Drosophila melanogaster: one gene and its partner. The protein of the gene in region 1 interacts with the protein of each later gene in a pairwise test. Each region holds a gene or a part of one and is shown in the gene's direction. Other genes may lie near its edges. The genes, in order: CG7910 and Rift.

The links.
Region 2: the proteins of CG7910 (region 1) and Rift interact in a two-hybrid assay, tested with the Drosophila melanogaster proteins (one large-scale study listed by BioGRID).

What each region holds. Positions count from the first base shown.
Region 1 is NT_033777.3:8,083,241-8,093,954, forward strand, and holds CG7910 (uncharacterized protein), read left to right. Parts: upstream 1-4,011; 5' UTR 4,012-4,301; coding exon 4,302-4,472; intron 4,473-4,545; coding exon 4,546-4,771; intron 4,772-4,837; coding exon 4,838-5,349; intron 5,350-5,403; coding exon 5,404-5,529; intron 5,530-5,580; coding exon 5,581-5,853; intron 5,854-5,908; coding exon 5,909-6,193; 3' UTR 6,194-6,286; downstream 6,287-10,714. Other genes in the region: mAChR-B (muscarinic acetylcholine Receptor, B-type), read left to right, coding at 1-2,492.
Region 2 is NT_033777.3:31,805,399-31,812,164, reverse strand, and holds Rift (riboflavin transporter), read left to right. Parts: upstream 1-1,978; 5' UTR 1,979-2,423; coding exon 2,424-2,539; intron 2,540-3,701; coding exon 3,702-5,049; 3' UTR 5,050-5,298; downstream 5,299-6,766. Other genes in the region: FeCH (ferrochelatase), read left to right, coding at 46-424, 687-788, 844-1,165, 1,225-1,539; CG1971 (uncharacterized protein), read right to left, coding at 5,653-6,398, 6,526-6,571.

The sequences.
Region 1 (10,714 bases):
ACACGATATACGTGCTCAAGGGTTATTGGGACCTGGGTCCGATGCTCTGCGATCTCTGGCTTTCCGTCGACTATACTGTGTGTCTGGTGTCCCAGTACACGGTGCTGTTGATCACGATAGATCGCTACTGCTCTGTGAAGATTGCCGCCAAGTACCGGAGTTGGAGGACGAGAACCAGAGTGATATATATGGTCACAATCACTTGGATCATTCCCGCTCTGCTCTTCTTCATCTCGATTTTTGGATGGGAGCACTTCACCGGCAAGCGGGATCTACTTCCTGGCCAGTGCGCCGTTCAGTTTCTCAAGGATCCGATCTTTAATACGGCCCTAATCATTGGCTACTATTGGACCACACTAATTGTGCTTTTTGTCTTATATGCCGGGATCTACAAAACAGCCTATGATATGCAAAAGCGCAGTGAGGCGAAGCAACGGAAAATGCAATCCATGGTGGCACTGAGTGCTGGAGCGATGTCCGGAATGGCAGGTCATGCAGCTGGCATTGGTGTGATTGAGGAGAAAATCCTAAAGACCAAAGTGGAACTTGCGGGAGATCAAACCGATTTGGATAGTGCCTGCACCACAGTGATTAAGAGATTAAGTGGTTCCGGTCAGGCAAATCCTCTGGCCGTGGCCACCGAGGAAGTGGAGAAGATGACACCGGAACAGAGGAGAGCGTCGGCAGCAAAAATCCAGGAGGAGGCGAAAAAACGTGAGGCAGCCGTGGATGCGGAAAAGAGCGAGAGATCCAGCAGTCCTGCCTTCGATTCCGATGAGGAATCATCCGTCAACCAGGCCCAGCAGTTGATCACCCAGCAGAAATTGAACAACATGAGGAAGCGGTCATCGATTGGTCTGGTCTTTGGGGCACAGGCCGCCCTGCTGGCCACTCGTGGCAAAGGTAACTTGCAGAAGAGCACCACTAACTCCAAGTCGATCGAGGCCATGCACCAGTACCACCACCACCAACAGCACCATCACAACCAGAGTCCGTTACAGCGGGCGCAGAGCAAGGAAGAGATGCGCTCCCTGCACCACCACCAGAACCAGCAACAACCGCACCACCAGCACCACCAAAACCAGCCGAACCCACCGCTGGACAGGCCCAAGCGCACATCCTGCTCCACACTGTCCCAGATAGCCGAGCATGATCGTTTGGTCGACCTGTCCGCTCCTCCAACATTACTCAACACCAGTGATCCCCTGTCCCCCGTGGACTTGGCACCCATCGAGGTCCCTAGCGATCAAGTGCATCAGGGTCTGGTGCAGACCATTTTGCCACCTCCCGACGCCTTTCAGTGCCCCACCCCGCTCTCCGATGACTACTCGGATCGTCCCTTTGGGAATAGTTCCGGTAACAGTGAACTGGCCCTGACCTATGACCTGATGACGAACTCGGAGCTACGCTATATGGACGAGAGCTCCGCCATGCTGGCCAGTGTGACGGCCAACTCGACGACCTCCCCGAATGACAGCGTCCAGGGGAAACCACCAGTCCTGCCTCCACCACCGCCCGCACGCCGAAATCCACCAAAATCGAACCTGAACCAGAGCCTCAGTCAAACTCCCAGCCAAAACCAGAGTCCCAGCCAAAGCCTGAGCCTCAACCTGAATCCGAATCACAACCAGAGTCAGAGTCAGAGTATCGAGGAGGCGGTGGCCATTGAAAAACGTCTTCTCGTCTCGTACACAGGAATCGAGGACTTTGCTAAGGTGAGGCGGGAGAGCTGCATTGAGGCCATCTGCCTGTTGGATGTGCCCGGAAAGCTAGCTGCGGACTGTCCCCATCGCCGGGCCTCCAGTCCTATGGAGACCAGCAGCAAGGATGCCATACTCTATTCCCCGATGCCACCAATGCCACTCTCACCCAAGGTAAAGACTTCAACGCCACAAACGGGAACGCCCCAGTCGGCGGCGGGTGTAACACCACCGGTGCCACTGGAAAGGATTGAGGAGCGAGAAACCTCGGACAGTAATACCAACAAGATGCCCTCCACCTCGGGCACCACCAGCAGTACGGGCGGTGTGGGTGGAGGCGGGGAACAAGACGGTGTTGGTGCCACCAAAAAGAACGCGGGGGATGACGATGCCAACAGGGAGGAGAAGAGTTTGGCGGCCAGCCGAAACTCCAGCAAAAGGGCATTCATTCATTCGATAGGAAAGCACTTCAAGAGCAAGAAGGCTCTACCCCTGATCCTTGGAGTGGGTGGACGGCAGAAGTCCAAGTCGGAGAATCGTGCTCGCAAAGCGTTTCGCACGATCTCGTTCATTTTGGGCTGCTTCGTGGCCTGCTGGACACCCTACCATGTGTTGGCCCTCGTCGAGGGATTCTGCCGGCATCCGCCCTGCATCAATGAACACCTCTACATGTTCTCGTACTTCCTCTGCTACGCCAACAGCCCGATGAATCCTTTTTGCTACGCTCTGGCCAATCAGCAGTTCAAGAAGACCTTTACGCGGATCCTCAAGGGGGATCTGCACATGACCTAAGATGGTTTGGGGATCTGAAGTGGTTAAGCTGCTGGTGGTTGAGTTAAATCCCTGATAGATTTCCATTTTGCACTGCACTTGCGCAAAGGACCAGACACTTCAGAGCCCCGAGAGTCTGGCGCCTTGCAAACTTTTCCATTCCCAAACCCCTTACACCTCCTTAGGCCCATAAGTTTTCTATACATACCCAACGAAAGTGCTCCGCTTAATGGAATATCTGCTGGATTTCGACCATCAGCAAAGTATTAGAATCAAACACTTATTAAATTCAAAATTTAATCGGTGGACAGGGAAGAGTTATCTGTAAGTAGCCAAAGGTGTGTGCTATAGTTAGAATCGTTGGGGGGGAAAACAAGCAATCCGATTTGGGATGCATACATAGGTCTAGAGTGGCACTAAGCGGGGCGAAATGTTTTAGACAATAAATATTTTAATGTTAATAACCAATCTATGATAACCATGCAAAGTATATGATATGATAGCTAATAAAATAAATTAAGCATAAGATATACACATTTACCGAGACTAGAAAACCCTACAAACCAAAACTCTAAAGCATATCCCAATATAGAATAATACTTCTTTTGTTGTTCCGCAGAATATATCAATGAAAAGCAGACATATGAAGGGGGTAGGCCATAAGAAGACCAAAGAAAAGCATGTTAACCCTTTGAGGGATATGCCAGTCGAAGCCCTTTTGACGGTGACACTTTGTCGAAAACTACGCAAAATCGGACCTAATTTTGATTTCAAACGTTCATAGAAACTTTCTTTTACAGTTATTTTGGTAGGTTATAGTACTTAGAATATTGCAAAAATATAAACTGTGTTCAAACTTTTTCGACGAATGGTTGCCGTCGTGGGGTTAAGCAGTTCGATGTCAATCCTGCAGCAGATATACGATTTTAAGAACACAAAACCCAGCATACATACCCGCGTAATTGTCTATGGATATATGCCAGACAAGTTGAAGAGTTTTGTTTGAATATTCATGAGTGTAGAGCATACGAAGATACATACATATAGCTACATAGATGTCAATTTTTGCGCAAGCCAGCAACTTATACTTATACGGATATATAGACGTCTCCTTAGCGCCTTTGCCAAGTTGCCTAACTGAGTTCACTCTCATTCTGAAAATCTTTGTTCTCGGTTGAAGTACTTTGTTATTTGTTAACCGTTTCGTTAGCCGATTCGATTCGTTTTCCAGTGAGTAATGTGCTAAACAAGTTTTTGCTTTTGTTGAACGTTTCCATTTAGCACGTAAGTGATAAGTGTAACAATAACTAAAATTATTACTAAATAAATAAATGAATGAATAATTGCATTTTTTATGATACGAAGGGTGACGCTTTTTTTAGGTAAGTAATGATTTTATTTTTAGAAGTGTAGCGACTACTTTCAATTGGTTTTAAATTATTGTTAATTGAATTCTTTAAATTAATTTGAGTTAAAAGCCAGAGCTATTTTTTCTTTAAGTATTTTTTTTTTTCAAAATGATTTTCGAAAACGAGAACATCCAAAGTTTATATAGTGTTGGTTAATGCCAACCCGAGCTAACTTTGAAATTAAATTCAAATTGAAATGGAAAACAAGGGACGATAAGTGCGAGTGTCAATCGCCACGCGTAGTCCACGATCCGCAGTCGAAGTGTTCGGTGGTGTTCCAGGTGCAGCAGCAGTTCCCGATCCCCATACCACCTCCTAGGCAAACCAACGTCAGCTATAGTTAACCCACTTACGCTGAGGTCCGATCAAAGTCCAGTGATTTGAATACCCCAACCTTTTGTGACCCGAACGCCTGCTCGACATGGAGATCATTCTACGACTGCTGGCCTTCATTCTGAATGCCTTTGGCATGTTGGTGAATAAGATTCTAGATTTTGTATTGCCCCGTCAGAAACCCAAATTTTCGGGCATTCGTAATCCCCTGCTGAAGAAGTCCGTCGTTGAATTGGTCACCCAATTGCGACGCGGCGAGGTGAGTCTCCAAGTCCAATCGCGTCATTCGTGTGGGACATTTGCAAGTCATATATGTCGGGGTTCGATTCCAGATCACCTCGGTGGAGTTGGTTAGCGCCTATATAGCACGTGTGCAGGAAGTGAATCCTTCTCTGAATGCCGTTGTCGAGGATCGATTCGAGGCTGCCCTCCAAGATGCAAAATTGGCAGATCAGTTCATCGAAAAGGCGAGCTCTGAGTTCGATCGTGTGGCCCTGTACACCAAGTATCCCATACTGGGTGTACCGTTTACTGTCAAGGAGTCATGTGGTCTTAAAGGTATGTTTCAGATACTCAAAATCACTAAAAATATAGCAGAAACTTATATTTTTCACTGGTTAATAGGATTATCCTTTGCCGTGGGCAGTCTTGCTCGCAAAAATATGAAAGCCCCCCAGGACGGCGATGTGGTTGAACTGGTCCGTGCTGCTGGTGGCATACCCCTTTTGGTGTCTGCCAATCCAGAGTTTTGCATGAGTTTCGAAACCAGCAATAATATCCAAGGACGTTGCTTGAATCCATATGATCTGCAACGAACTTCCGCCGGATCTTCTGGCGGCGAGGCATCATTGAATGGCTGTGGAGCCACAACTTTTGGTGTGGGCTCCGATATCAGTGGTTCCATTCGCCTGCCGGCTCTGTTCTGCGGCGTTTTTGGCCACAAGCCCACTGGCGGGCTTACGTCGGTCAAGGGTCACTTCCCCTACTCGTTGACGGACAAGAAATTCTCCGAGATGCTGCAGATCGGTCCCATCACAAGATTCGCCAGGGATTTGCCCTTGCTGTTGGAAATAATGGCGGGCGATAAAAAACACAAACTGAAAATGTCTGAACCAGTTGCCCTGAAGGACATGAAGGTGAGATTTCCCAAACTAGGAAATGTATAATAGTCAAAGCTTATTTTCGCTTAGGTATACTATGCCTTTGGATACTCCGGCTTTAACTGCCTCACCCATCCCGTGGTGGACTTCGACATAAAACTGGCCATCACCAAAGCTGTCACGTGCTTGGAAAGAGGAGGTGTGCAGTCCAAGAAGGTAAGTACAACTTTGTAGAGTTTCTCGACCTAATGCTATTTTGCCAATCAGTTGGATCTTAAATTCCTGAGAAACTCTCTCGAGATTGCCCTGGTTTCCCTGGTGGACTTGAAGGGTCTGCCCAGTATCGTAACACAGCGGGCGGATCGTGATCCATCGATGCGTTTGCTGATGGTGGAACTCTTCAACAGCATCATAGGTCACTCAATCTTCACCAAAGAGGCCATGGTACTGGAGGTGATGAAGCGATTCAACGGCCTTATGGCCACTGGAAACATGGAAGAATACCGAGTTGAGGCCCAGAAAATAAAGAGCCATCTGAATGTAAGCGAATTAAATCATTCTTGAAGTTATACTGACCATTTAAAACCCATCACAGCAATTGCTTGGTACCCAAGGAGTCCTCATCATGCCCACCTTCCACACTAGCGCCCTATGTTTTCACACCTCGCTGTTAAACGTGACGGGGATCGACAATCTGCTGCTGTTCAACATCCTTGGTCTGCCCGCCACCCATGTGCCCATGGGCACAAATCAACGGGGAATGCCCATAGGGTTGCAGGTGGTGGCCGCCCAATATCAGGACAAACTCTGCCTGAAGGTCGCCGCCGAACTGGAGGCCGTTTTTCACGGCTGGGTGCCACCGGTACCACATGACACATGAAACACCAAGCGAGGATCGGGGGTACCTGCTCAGTTTTCCATTTAAGGTTAAAGGTTAAATTTTGTTTAAAGTGCTAATATAGTTGTGAAGATTAAAGTGAACTTCGTTTAATAAATGACCACCAATATTTGTTTATATTGGAGTGTTTTTTTTTTTTTTTATTTCCATAACATTTTTCGATAGATCAATATAACTTTTTAGTTTTGTGTACAGTCCCTCTAAAGCTGACCTGCAACAACGTTATATTGACGTTAGCTTGACTCAAAATCGATATCTAAGACAAATGGGCACTCTGCGAAGCGATAGAATATCCTACGTCTATCGGCACTTCAGCTGAAATCTTCGCATTTTAATCAACTTAATCAACCTTGCAATTACAACCATTGAAATGGGTAATATTTTTAGGCTTCGAAGACAACATAGAGTGAGTACAAAAATAATGCATTATGTGCTGAGCCCCGTCAATTACATTTCCATCGCAGACTGACAATCCTATGGAAAACCAAATTGAAATTTCCGTAAGTGCTTAAAATTTTAATTTGCCATTGCTTTAATGTTTGATTGCCCTCAAGGACGAGCCAGGAATCTATAGCTTAAGAAGGACAAGTCCCGATGAAAATGGGAACATTTTTGTGAATCATGAGATAAACCATGCTGCTTGGAGTAACCCAGCCCCAATTCGAAATGGGAGCTATCACAGGACCACTAGACCTGGTTTTGGTGGTCATCATTCATCGGTGCAACCAATCTATGAGGATTCGGACCAAGATGAGGGTGTCGAGGACTTGAATTCCGTATCTGACAGGGAGAACTTTGAAGTCGAATAATGCTAATAATATGAAATGTTAAATCAAAATATAAAATACTCTATTCGTAGAATTAAAAATTTATTTTCTTTAGTATTAAAAATACTCCTTTTTGAAGTACTCACCGCATTGCCGAAAGATCTAAGGCACCAGGGGATTCTAACCGCCATTATTCCAGACTTTGTAAAAGAGTGAGATCCCGAATCAATCAGTGTTTCGGTACCGCGAGTGTAGAGAATTAGTTATAGCCTCTCTTAGTCAATCACTCCACTCTCGCTGCGAAATTGTTTACGTTTCGTAAAAAACTCTCCACCTCTTCCTTCCACCTTATCAGCACCTTCCCTACCCTATATAGTAAAATTGTTGTTTTATTTATGAGTCGAACTAATGTCCCGTCAGTTGACTAAGGACAACGCCAAGAAATAAAAAATAGTTTTTAGGAGAAATAGTTTCACGACTTTATTCTTTGGATCTCAGCTTAAGACTAAAAATCAAATGCAAATTGGATTGAGGAGAAGCCTCAGTATTTGAACAATATTTGTATTTCGGGAGAGCCTCGCTCTTGGGTTCTTAAGATTAGGTAGCGTTGAAAGAGGGCAGTCAAATCTGCTTAGGTCAGGCTTTAGGATGTTTACAAGAACGGCTGCGCTGCCAAAGATAAACAAATGCTGCGCAGCTGGGATACGTTATGGAAAATTACTAGAGTGCATTACTGATTTCTTTGAAATAATGGAAGTGGCTGGTTTGGACCACCCAAATACGTCACTCCCCTTCCCTTAAAGAGAAGCCTATACTTGGGCTGGGATTGATGGATATAGTGTGGGAAATGGAGTTTCTTCTATTTCTGTTTGTTGTGGTGTGTTTTGATTTTGATTTTTTCTTATTTTAAGTTTTGCATACAGCATCATAAATGGTTTAAATGATACATATCTTAAATATGAGTACAACAAAATTAGTGCGATTATTACAATGATCATTTGTATGTAAAGTGTAATATTGTTCTCTGAAATCATCTTAACAATGTCGTTGTGTTTTACAATTTTTATTTTTGTTATATTAAGTGGTGTGTATAGTGGTGTCAAATCTATTTCTGGTTCTAACAGATTTTCACTTAAAATTATATTATTGATTTCTATTTTGCATTGCGTTACTCTTATCATTTTGTTTCCTTCTATTTTTATTTTATTAATTGAATTTTGGCAATTTTGGTTAAGAATTGTTTGGGTTAAGTTCCAGGTTACAATTGTGTTTGGTTCTATGTATTTTATTATTTCGTTCGTGTGTACTGGCTTAAAATTACAAATTGGATTTAAGTGTTTAATAATATTGGTGACACATTCATTTTTTACTTCTTTATTTTCGGTATTATAAACTTTATTTTCTTTTTCAAAATATGATTGTGTGTCTGTGTAATCTAGCTGATAGCCGTTGGAGTCTGGGTAAGGAATTATTTTAATTGTGCTTATTAGTGAAAGGTAAATGGGTATGTGGGATATGATTAATACTTGGTTATCATTGTAGTTAATCCAAGTGGATGTTTTAATGTTCAAAATGTTTTGGCTGTTCACATTTTCAAGTTTGTCGTAGTTTAGTAATTTGGGGTTAAACAGTCCAAGTCTGGAAAGCTGCATAGCCATTTCCAAATCTTCTATGTATTCCGTAAACTGCATTAGTTCGAACAAAAGACTGTCAATGATGGTGTGGTTATTTTCATAATTCTGTATTTTTTGCATTCCGTATTTTCCGGGGCTGTTAACCGAAAATTTTCGTTTAGTTCAGAATTATTTTGGTTTTGTTTGTTATTAATTTGTACAGATTGGACTTGTTGTTGCCCTTCATTAATGAAGCTATGATTTTGATACGGATTGTATTGATTTTGGTTAAAATACTGTTGCTCGTAATAATTAGGTTGGACTTGTTCGAATTCATGCGCGTCTTGGAATCTAATTTCGTCAATAGACATTTTAGTTTGTTCACTGTCCGATGGTCTTAGTCGTTTAGTAATCGGGAAGTTAGTATTTTTATATGTAGAGGGTTGTTGTAGTCGAGGGTATGTATTTCCTCTAAAATGCGTTGTTTGGGGAAATTGGGCTTTGTTGGGATATTGTTGGAAATGATTTTTTTGAATAATGGGTTGTGGGTTTATGTATTGGTTGGGTCTGAAATAATTAGGTGCGTGCCACATGGGTGGGTTGTTAGTTATCTGCTGTGTATAGCTAGGTCTAAATGGTTGAATGTATTGATTAAAATTAGGTTGGAAGGGTTGGGAATATTGTGAGTAACTTGGTCGATTTTGAGTTTGAACATTTGTATTGAATTTTTGTGTTTTCGAATTCTGGTTAGAATTTGAATTTTTATTACGATATTCTGGTTTTTCATAAAATTCAAAATTAATGTGTTCTTCATAAATTCCCTCATTTTGTGCAATGGTAATTAAGGATCTTAAGTCTGTAATATCGTGATGGGCTAAAATAGTGAATAATTGTATTGGTAGTTTCCTTATCAGTATCTTAATAGATTCTTTAATACCCTGAATATAAATAAGAAAATCCGATTGGTTACCTTCCAGGTGTAGTTTCGAAATTAGTAATTGACGTCGTCTCTCCGCTTCTTCGCAGAATGCTCTTAGGCTTCCTCTGTATGGTGTCTCCCTGAAGTTCTCCAGAAGTTTGTAGTTTGGTGTTTGAATTTTAAATTCCGCGATGAGTCTTGCTTTAAGGGTAGGCCAATCTTCGATGTTCGGAAGTCCCAAAGATCGTGTAATTTGTCCGTCCAAGTTCCTTTCGATGGCTCCCAGTAGAATCCTCTGTTGTCGGACATCATTTGTTTGGTAGAGCGAAATTACGTAATCCACTCTGCTGATAAAGGTGTGAAGGGTTTCTGGATCACCCTTGAATGGCATAATGTCTTTAAGCTGCCGACGGGCTTCGGCAAGGTTTATGTCGCTCAGCGCAATAATTGGTTGTGACATTTTTATTGTAAAATTTTTAACTTTTGTGTTTTATTTTTTTGTTTTGTTTCGGATTCAATGTTATTATTATTTTTAAGCTTTCTAGTTTCACTTGTTTGTTTTTTTTGTTTTGTAAATTTTTGTGTTGTATTATTAAAATTCTATATTGTTTTAATTTTTTATTTTTATATGTTGGTTTTAAAACTTAGTTGCCTTTGGACTTAATATTTTTGTTTCGTATTTCACTTCCACTTATTATTGGATAACCGAATTGGAATTATAATCCAAGTTGAAGAGTTTTCACGAATTTATTTTGGGAGATGTTTCGAGCACTGGACTATAAAATTTAACTTATTTTCCACTCGAAGGTTCTTTTTTTCGGATACTTTTGTATCCTACCGACTGCGCCAGTAAAATTGTTGTTTTATTTATGAGTCGAACTAATGTCCCGTCAGTTGACTAAGGACAACGCCAAGAAATAAAAAATAGTTTTTAGGAGAAATAGTTTCACGACTTTATTCTTTGGATCTCAGCTTAAGACTAAAAATCAAATGCAAATTGGATTGAGGAGAAGCCTCAGTATTTGAACAATATTTGTATTTCGGGAGAGCCTCGCTCTTGGGTTCTTAAGATTAGGTAGCGTTGAAAGAGGGCAGTCAAATCTGCTTAGGTCAGGCTTTAGGATGTTTACAAGAACGGCTGCGCTGCCAAAGATAAACAAATGCTGCGCAGCTGGGATACGTTATGGAAAATTACTAGAGTGCA
Region 2 (6,766 bases), about 24 Mb from region 1:
CGAGTGGATACAGTTCCCACGACATTCCTACATATTCCCCAACAGGTGGTCTGGCAGGAGGAGTGCGCAACCTGAGCGGCCAAAAACCGAAGACCGCGATCCTAATGCTGAACATGGGCGGTCCGACCCACACGGACCAGGTGCATGACTACCTCCTGCGTATTATGACCGACCGGGACATGATCCAGCTGCCGGTGCAGAGCCGTCTTGGTCCGTGGATCGCCCAGCGCAGGACGCCCGAGGTACAGAAGAAGTACAAGGAGATCGGCGGTGGTTCACCGATTCTTAAGTGGACCGAGCTGCAGGGCCAGCTCATGTGCGAGCAGTTGGACAGAATCTCCCCGGAGACAGCACCTCACAAGCACTACGTCGGTTTCCGCTACGTGAATCCCCTCACTGAGAACACGCTGGCCGAGATCGAAAAGTGAGTGTAGTCGAGAAGTAGAACAAGAGTGATGTAAATAATCCGAAGGTCGTGAAATTGACCTATATATATTGCTACGGACTCTCACAATAAGATATGTTCTAGTAAATAAGTTTGTATAGACTTCTGACTTCTTATGCATGTTTCAATGTCCTGCTATTATCAGTTGACTTCTTGGACAAATTACTGAAACCTAAACCTGGAAATTATGGTCATTTGCGCTACTTAAAGAATACATGTTAATATTTTAACATATTTACAGGGACAAACCAGAGCGCGTTGTACTCTTTTCACAATATCCACAGTACAGCTGCGCCACCTCCGGATCCAGCTTTAACTCCATATTTACTCATTATCGGAGCAAGTGAGTTAGAAATGCACAATTGCAGCTATTTATTTGATCCCCTCTACCTCTTTAGTAATCTGCCCTCGGATATCAAATGGAGCATTATCGACAGGTGGGGCACTCATCCACTTCTAATCAAAACGTTTGCCCAGCGAATTCGCGACGAGCTGGCCAAATTTGTGGAAACGAAACGAAATGATGTGGTCATCCTCTTCACTGCCCACTCCCTTCCCCTTAAGGCTGTGAACCGGGGTGACGCGTATCCCTCGGAGATTGGTGCTAGCGTACACATGGTGATGCAGGAACTTGGTCAGACGAATCCCTACAGCCTGGCATGGCAATCCAAGGTGGGCCCGCTACCCTGGCTGGCGCCCGCAACTGATGATGCCATTAAGGTGTAACTTTAATGCCGGATTTCCATTCCCATCCACTAAAACCAATCCCATCTTTACAGGGCTATGTTAAGCAAGGCCTGAAGAACTTCATCCTTGTGCCCATTGCCTTCGTGAACGAGCACATCGAGACGCTGCATGAGCTCGACATCGAGTACTGCGACGAACTGGCCAAGGAGGTAGGCGTAGAGGAAATCCGTCGAGCTGCAACCCCCAACGACCACCCGCTGTTCATCGACGCCCTGACAAACGTTGTGGCAGACCACCTGAAGTCCCAGCAGGCAGTCAACCCCAAGTTCCTCATGCGTTGTCCCATGTGCTCCAATCCAAAGTGCAGGGAGAGCAAAAGCTGGTACCGCCAGCTCTGCTCGAACTAAGCAACCAAGTCAACTTGCGGGGGTGGGTAGCACTGCGTGACAAGCGTTTCAAGTGCTGCAGCTGGAGGAGAACATTTATGCATTCATTTGGGTTTCTGGGGGATTGGTTTTCACATACTGGTGTTTATTTCTTTCCGCTTTAATTAAAGTCTCTGTTGAACAGTATAAAAAATGCACAGTTGGTTTTGAAGTGGTAGCTTTGTTGAGAAAACATCTATGCCTTTTCTATGTTACAGCGAAACTATAAAAATGGAATGCTAAAATGTAGCTTTTAAATGGCGAATGCCAAGCGAGCTTGCTAACTAATATACTCTTCTAGGAACACAATTTATAAGTTCCAAACCCATAACAAAACAGTTGCGCTCTATAAAGAGAGCCAGCAGTACTTTAAAATGTTCTCTTATCTTAGTCACGCTCTCGCTCTGTCGCACGTGCGATGGATTCGGTATTTTTTCGCCGGACGAACAGCTGTTCGACTGTCAGTTTTATTCTTGCCTTCCGATCCGATGTTTATTAAATCAAATTCCACTTTTGAGTGTTCAAATGGCTGACAAAATTTGCGAAAGCTGGTTGTTCTCCCCTGCAGTCGACTTCTTCTGGACACTCTTGCATTTCTCATCGTGTCGCGCCGTCAATGGAACTTCCCGGAATATTGCATAATTGAGACTTCCCAGGCCTTCAAATTGGAACTTCGACTTTGCATTAATTGACGGCTCGCGCTGGAATTAACCTGCCAATTGCCTTCGATATTCCACATTACGCCAATTGAGCCGTTGATTTTTAATAACGAACCGAGGCGCGTTTGGCCACAGTGGCCTGGATCGGGAAATCTAATCGCCGCGGGGATCATAAAACAATTCGAAGAGCACACTCCGACTCCGAATATGAGCAGGTACCACAGAGGCCGAGGAGCTGGTAGCCCCACGAATCCAGCGGGGCCAGTCTACGGCGTGATCTCGACGTTGGACGACGCCACTCCGAGTCCCGCGGATTTCGCCAGGTAAGCGAGCAATTACTGCTTTCACGTTTTATTTGCGCTTGCTGAGAGCGAAAACCAGTTTGGGATCGGGCTTAAATGCTGCGGGCGGGCTTTCTTTCCATCCCTTTTTCCATATTTGGCAGACTTATATTTTACGACCACATCGTTACACAGCAACTATAAAACAACCATTGGTGTAAAGATAATTTGGAAATTTTCCGTATTTATTTTCATTTTTGTTATCAGCTTTTCTTGCCATAGTCTTGTACTTTACTTGGAAACACTGTTGCTGTAGTTAAACTGTAACTTGGAGTTTGCAAATCGTATGAATTTGTAAAACAAGTTATATGTATTCATATCCAGTAAAAAGAATCAACACATCATAGTGGAAACCCTTTAGTTATATTAGAAACTTTAGTCCTGCTTCTCACCTAAGGAATCTCTTTAGAGATTAAATGAATGCCTACCAAGTTCCCGATTGTGATTCTTATCGTCTTCAGCCAGATACGTGCAGACATCGAATGGCCACAAATTAATTGAGTTAGCAGATTAGATGAAGATCGTATGTGACCGATGGCACACACTTAATATCACATGAAAATAAGATTAGCACAGAGATATATCCACTTTGGTATATCCAAAAGAAATCAAAGGTGCATTTTTTTTTGTTTTCTTTTTTTTTTTAAATGTATTAATGGGTGCCTCCAATGGGAGTACAAAAGCAGCATTTTGTTAATTTGAAAAGCTGTCGCTTTCGGTTGATTCTATACATTTTTTACAAGATTCGTGTGAGGTTTATAATTATTATATACACACACATCCATTCCACACGAATGTAACGTAAAGCCACAGAACCATTTTAATCGTATTCGCTCGGTTATCTGTCCGAAAGACAAACATAATGAACTGTAAATGCCATATGCTTGATAATGACTTTTTAAGGCTTATCTGAACCATTGAGAGAAATAAGCCCGTAATTGTGACTTGGGTGCCATAAGCCTAGGCCACTAATAGTGTGCAAAGTTGCATGCTAAAATTAGTTTTCGTTAATAAATATTCTTGAAAACATTGGGTGTTTAATTACATCTAGATATTCACAATGTGAAAGGTAGCTAATTTTTGAATTATTGCTAGCTGTTTATATAGGTTATAGATTATATCTAATCTCTTATTCATTTTACAGATGCTCCTCTCTCGAGGCCAAGAAAAGTGAGCTGAGCTTGTTCCTTAACTGGGGAGGCCCACAAAAAAATATGGAGATAAGCTCGAAGCTAAGAAACCGCAGCTGGCTCGTCGACGTGCTGGCCATCTTCTTTGGCATAGGCACCTGGCTGGGCGTCAATGGCACCTTCATTCAGCTTCCCCTGCTGGTGGACGAGGCACCAGAGGGCTGGAGTCTGCCCTCTTACCTTAGCGTTATGGTCCAGATTGGCAACTTGGGCCCACTGCTCTACACTGCCATCCAGAAGTACTCGCCCAAGAAACTAAATGATGGTTGGACCATTCACGGAGTGCTCCTGGTGGGAGCTATATCGTGCTTGCTGACGGCGTTCTTCTACAACCAAACCGCTTCGGTCGCTGGCACGGATCACAGCTTAGCCCTCTTTTTGCTGACCTGCTTCACGGCGTTAAATGCCTGCACTAGCTCGGTGCTTTTTATGCCCTACATGGGACGCTTCAAGGAGCAGTACATGGTCACCTACTTTATTGGCGAGGGGCTGAGTGGTCTCCTGCCCAGCGTGACGGCTTTGATCCAGGGCATCGGCGAGAGTGGCGACTGTGTACTGGTCAACGTAACCGAAAGCGGAGAGGAGGTCTACGCGCTGCGGAAGACACCTCCGAGATTCGATACCCGTGTTTTCTTCCTTATCCTTTTCGCGCTCATGGTTCTAGCCTATGTGGGGTATGCACTTCTGAATTCCCTCCCCTTGGCCAGAAGGGAGTACGCCCAGGTTACCGTCAGTGAGGGCAACAAGTACGTTTACGGAGAGGCGGATAACCAGCCAAAAGCGGAAAAGCTGAGTAAAGGCCAGTACACATACCTCCTCCTGCTAATCGGTGCGATTTCGCTGTTTAGTAACGGAATGTTCGGCAGCATACAGTCCTACTCCAGTGCCCCGTACGGATCACAAGCGTACCACTTAGCAGCCACCCTCAGTGTGATAGCCAACCCGGTTGCCTGCTTCATGGCCATGTTCCTGCATTTTACCTCCCTGCGGATTATCACGGTGCTCTCTATCCTTGCGGGTCTGCTGACCAGCTATGTTTTCACCACGGCGGCTCTGAGTCCTCTTCCGCCACTTCACGACCAGACCGTTGGTGCCGTACTCGTGGTCACAGCCTGGACTTTGCTGGTAGGGATTGTGAGCTACACGAAACTGGGAATCACCACGGTTATGCGGGCGCAGGGCGGACAATCGCTGGTCTGGGTGGGCGCCATCACGCAGCTAGGATCCGCTATCGGAGCAGTGGCCATCTTCTTTGCGATCAACTACTCAGACCTTTTCCAGGCCGCAGAGTCGAACTGCTAACCTCGCCAGAAACTCGACGCGGCCAGGATTTCCAGGGATGCATCGTGATTTTAAAATTGCTATTACTGTAGTTTAGTGTGATATTTTAATGTGTATTTTCACCTCAAGTCACAATGAAGACAATACCTACCTGAACTCGCGCTTTTTTATACAACAATTTGCAGTTGACTTGCAACCCTTCGTAGTTTTAAGTATAAAAGTGGATATCAACATAATGTACATAGGACAAGAACAAGAATCCGAAGTTTTAAAAATTATAAACGTTGGCTTCTAAGTAAAAAGATAAAGTTCGAACCTAATGTCTTCCCTTGTTTTGATTTAAATCCAGCAAAAGGTGCTTTGAGTTATATATCTCTGATATGAAAATCAATTTTCTGTATTTAAATATTAATTTGAAGAGGTATTATTATAGTGCCTTTGCCTGTATATTATTTAAAGTTTAATATGTAGTTTTGACGGATTTACATCTTTCTTATACCAACTAAAATTTATTTTTTCTATAATCGTCCTTTAAATTCTTACTAGGCATTGAAAAGATACTCCTAAATGCAACTAATTTGTATTAATTGTGTTTAAAGCTTGCTCTTTACCAATATCAATTTTTTACCGATCGGCCCTTATATCCGCCCCCGATTCGTTATTGGACCGCTCCGGCTGCTCTACCTCGCTGTCTATGTCCCCCTCGTAGCCCGAATTTGTTTTCGAGGCAACGGGAAGGGGATTGTGCCCTTTAGACAGGAAGGACTCGTCCAAGGTGCAGCAGCTACAAAAGCACTCCTTAAAATGACGGCAGGTATCCCCAAGTTTCTCGGGGGCCGCCTCTAAGACCTTGTTGAATGCTTCGATCTTCTCGCGCAGGCTGCGGCTGGCACTGGGACACCCAAAGAGCTGACTTCCTTGTGGAGACGGCCGTGAAGATTCGCTGCCAATCTTCTCTAGAAAGCCGAGAACCTTCTCCAGTGAGTCTCGGGCACGTTTGAAGTTCTCCTGGCTCTCCCGCAGAACTTGGCTTTCATTGAGGTGCTCAAATTCCACCAATAGACCTTGAATCTCGGTGAGGTCAGAAGGCAAACTCATGCCCGCCACGGCGGAGGTTTGCGGGGCGTTCACAGCATTAACCGTCTCGAAACCCACGATCAGTCGCTGTATCTTGGAGGCCCCGGCGCGGTGGCCACACCTCGCGAGCTGCATCATGTCGTTCACATCGCCCACCTCCTTGAGCAACTGCACCGACGACTGCATTACCTTCTGGTGCTCCTGAATGCCCTGCCGCAAACGGTCTTGCAGGTTGTGAAGGTATAAGCTGAGTTGACGCACCTGCTCCTTTTCATCGAAATTACTTAGAAAGACTGGGAGGAAATCAGGAAGGAGTAAGTTTACCTTTGAGCATATTCAAATGTTACATGTACATGCTAAGTACATGGCATTACTAGAGAGGAGCTTTAATTTAATATTATTTAACACCTACGGTCTTACCAGGAATTATATTTTCGCTCTCTGATGCTGAATTATTGTCGGCCATTGTTAAACGCTTCAGTCCACTAGGGATCCCAAAAATCACTATAAATTTTGAAAACTGGTGACAAACCGTGACTTTAATTCAATCTTATGCCAATGTAAATCTCTAAGGTAAAATGATTTGAAAAAGTGTACACTGTTGCCTATTATCACGGTTTTGAGCCACCGCTGCTCTCCGTTTTTCGATCGCCTTGGTCCC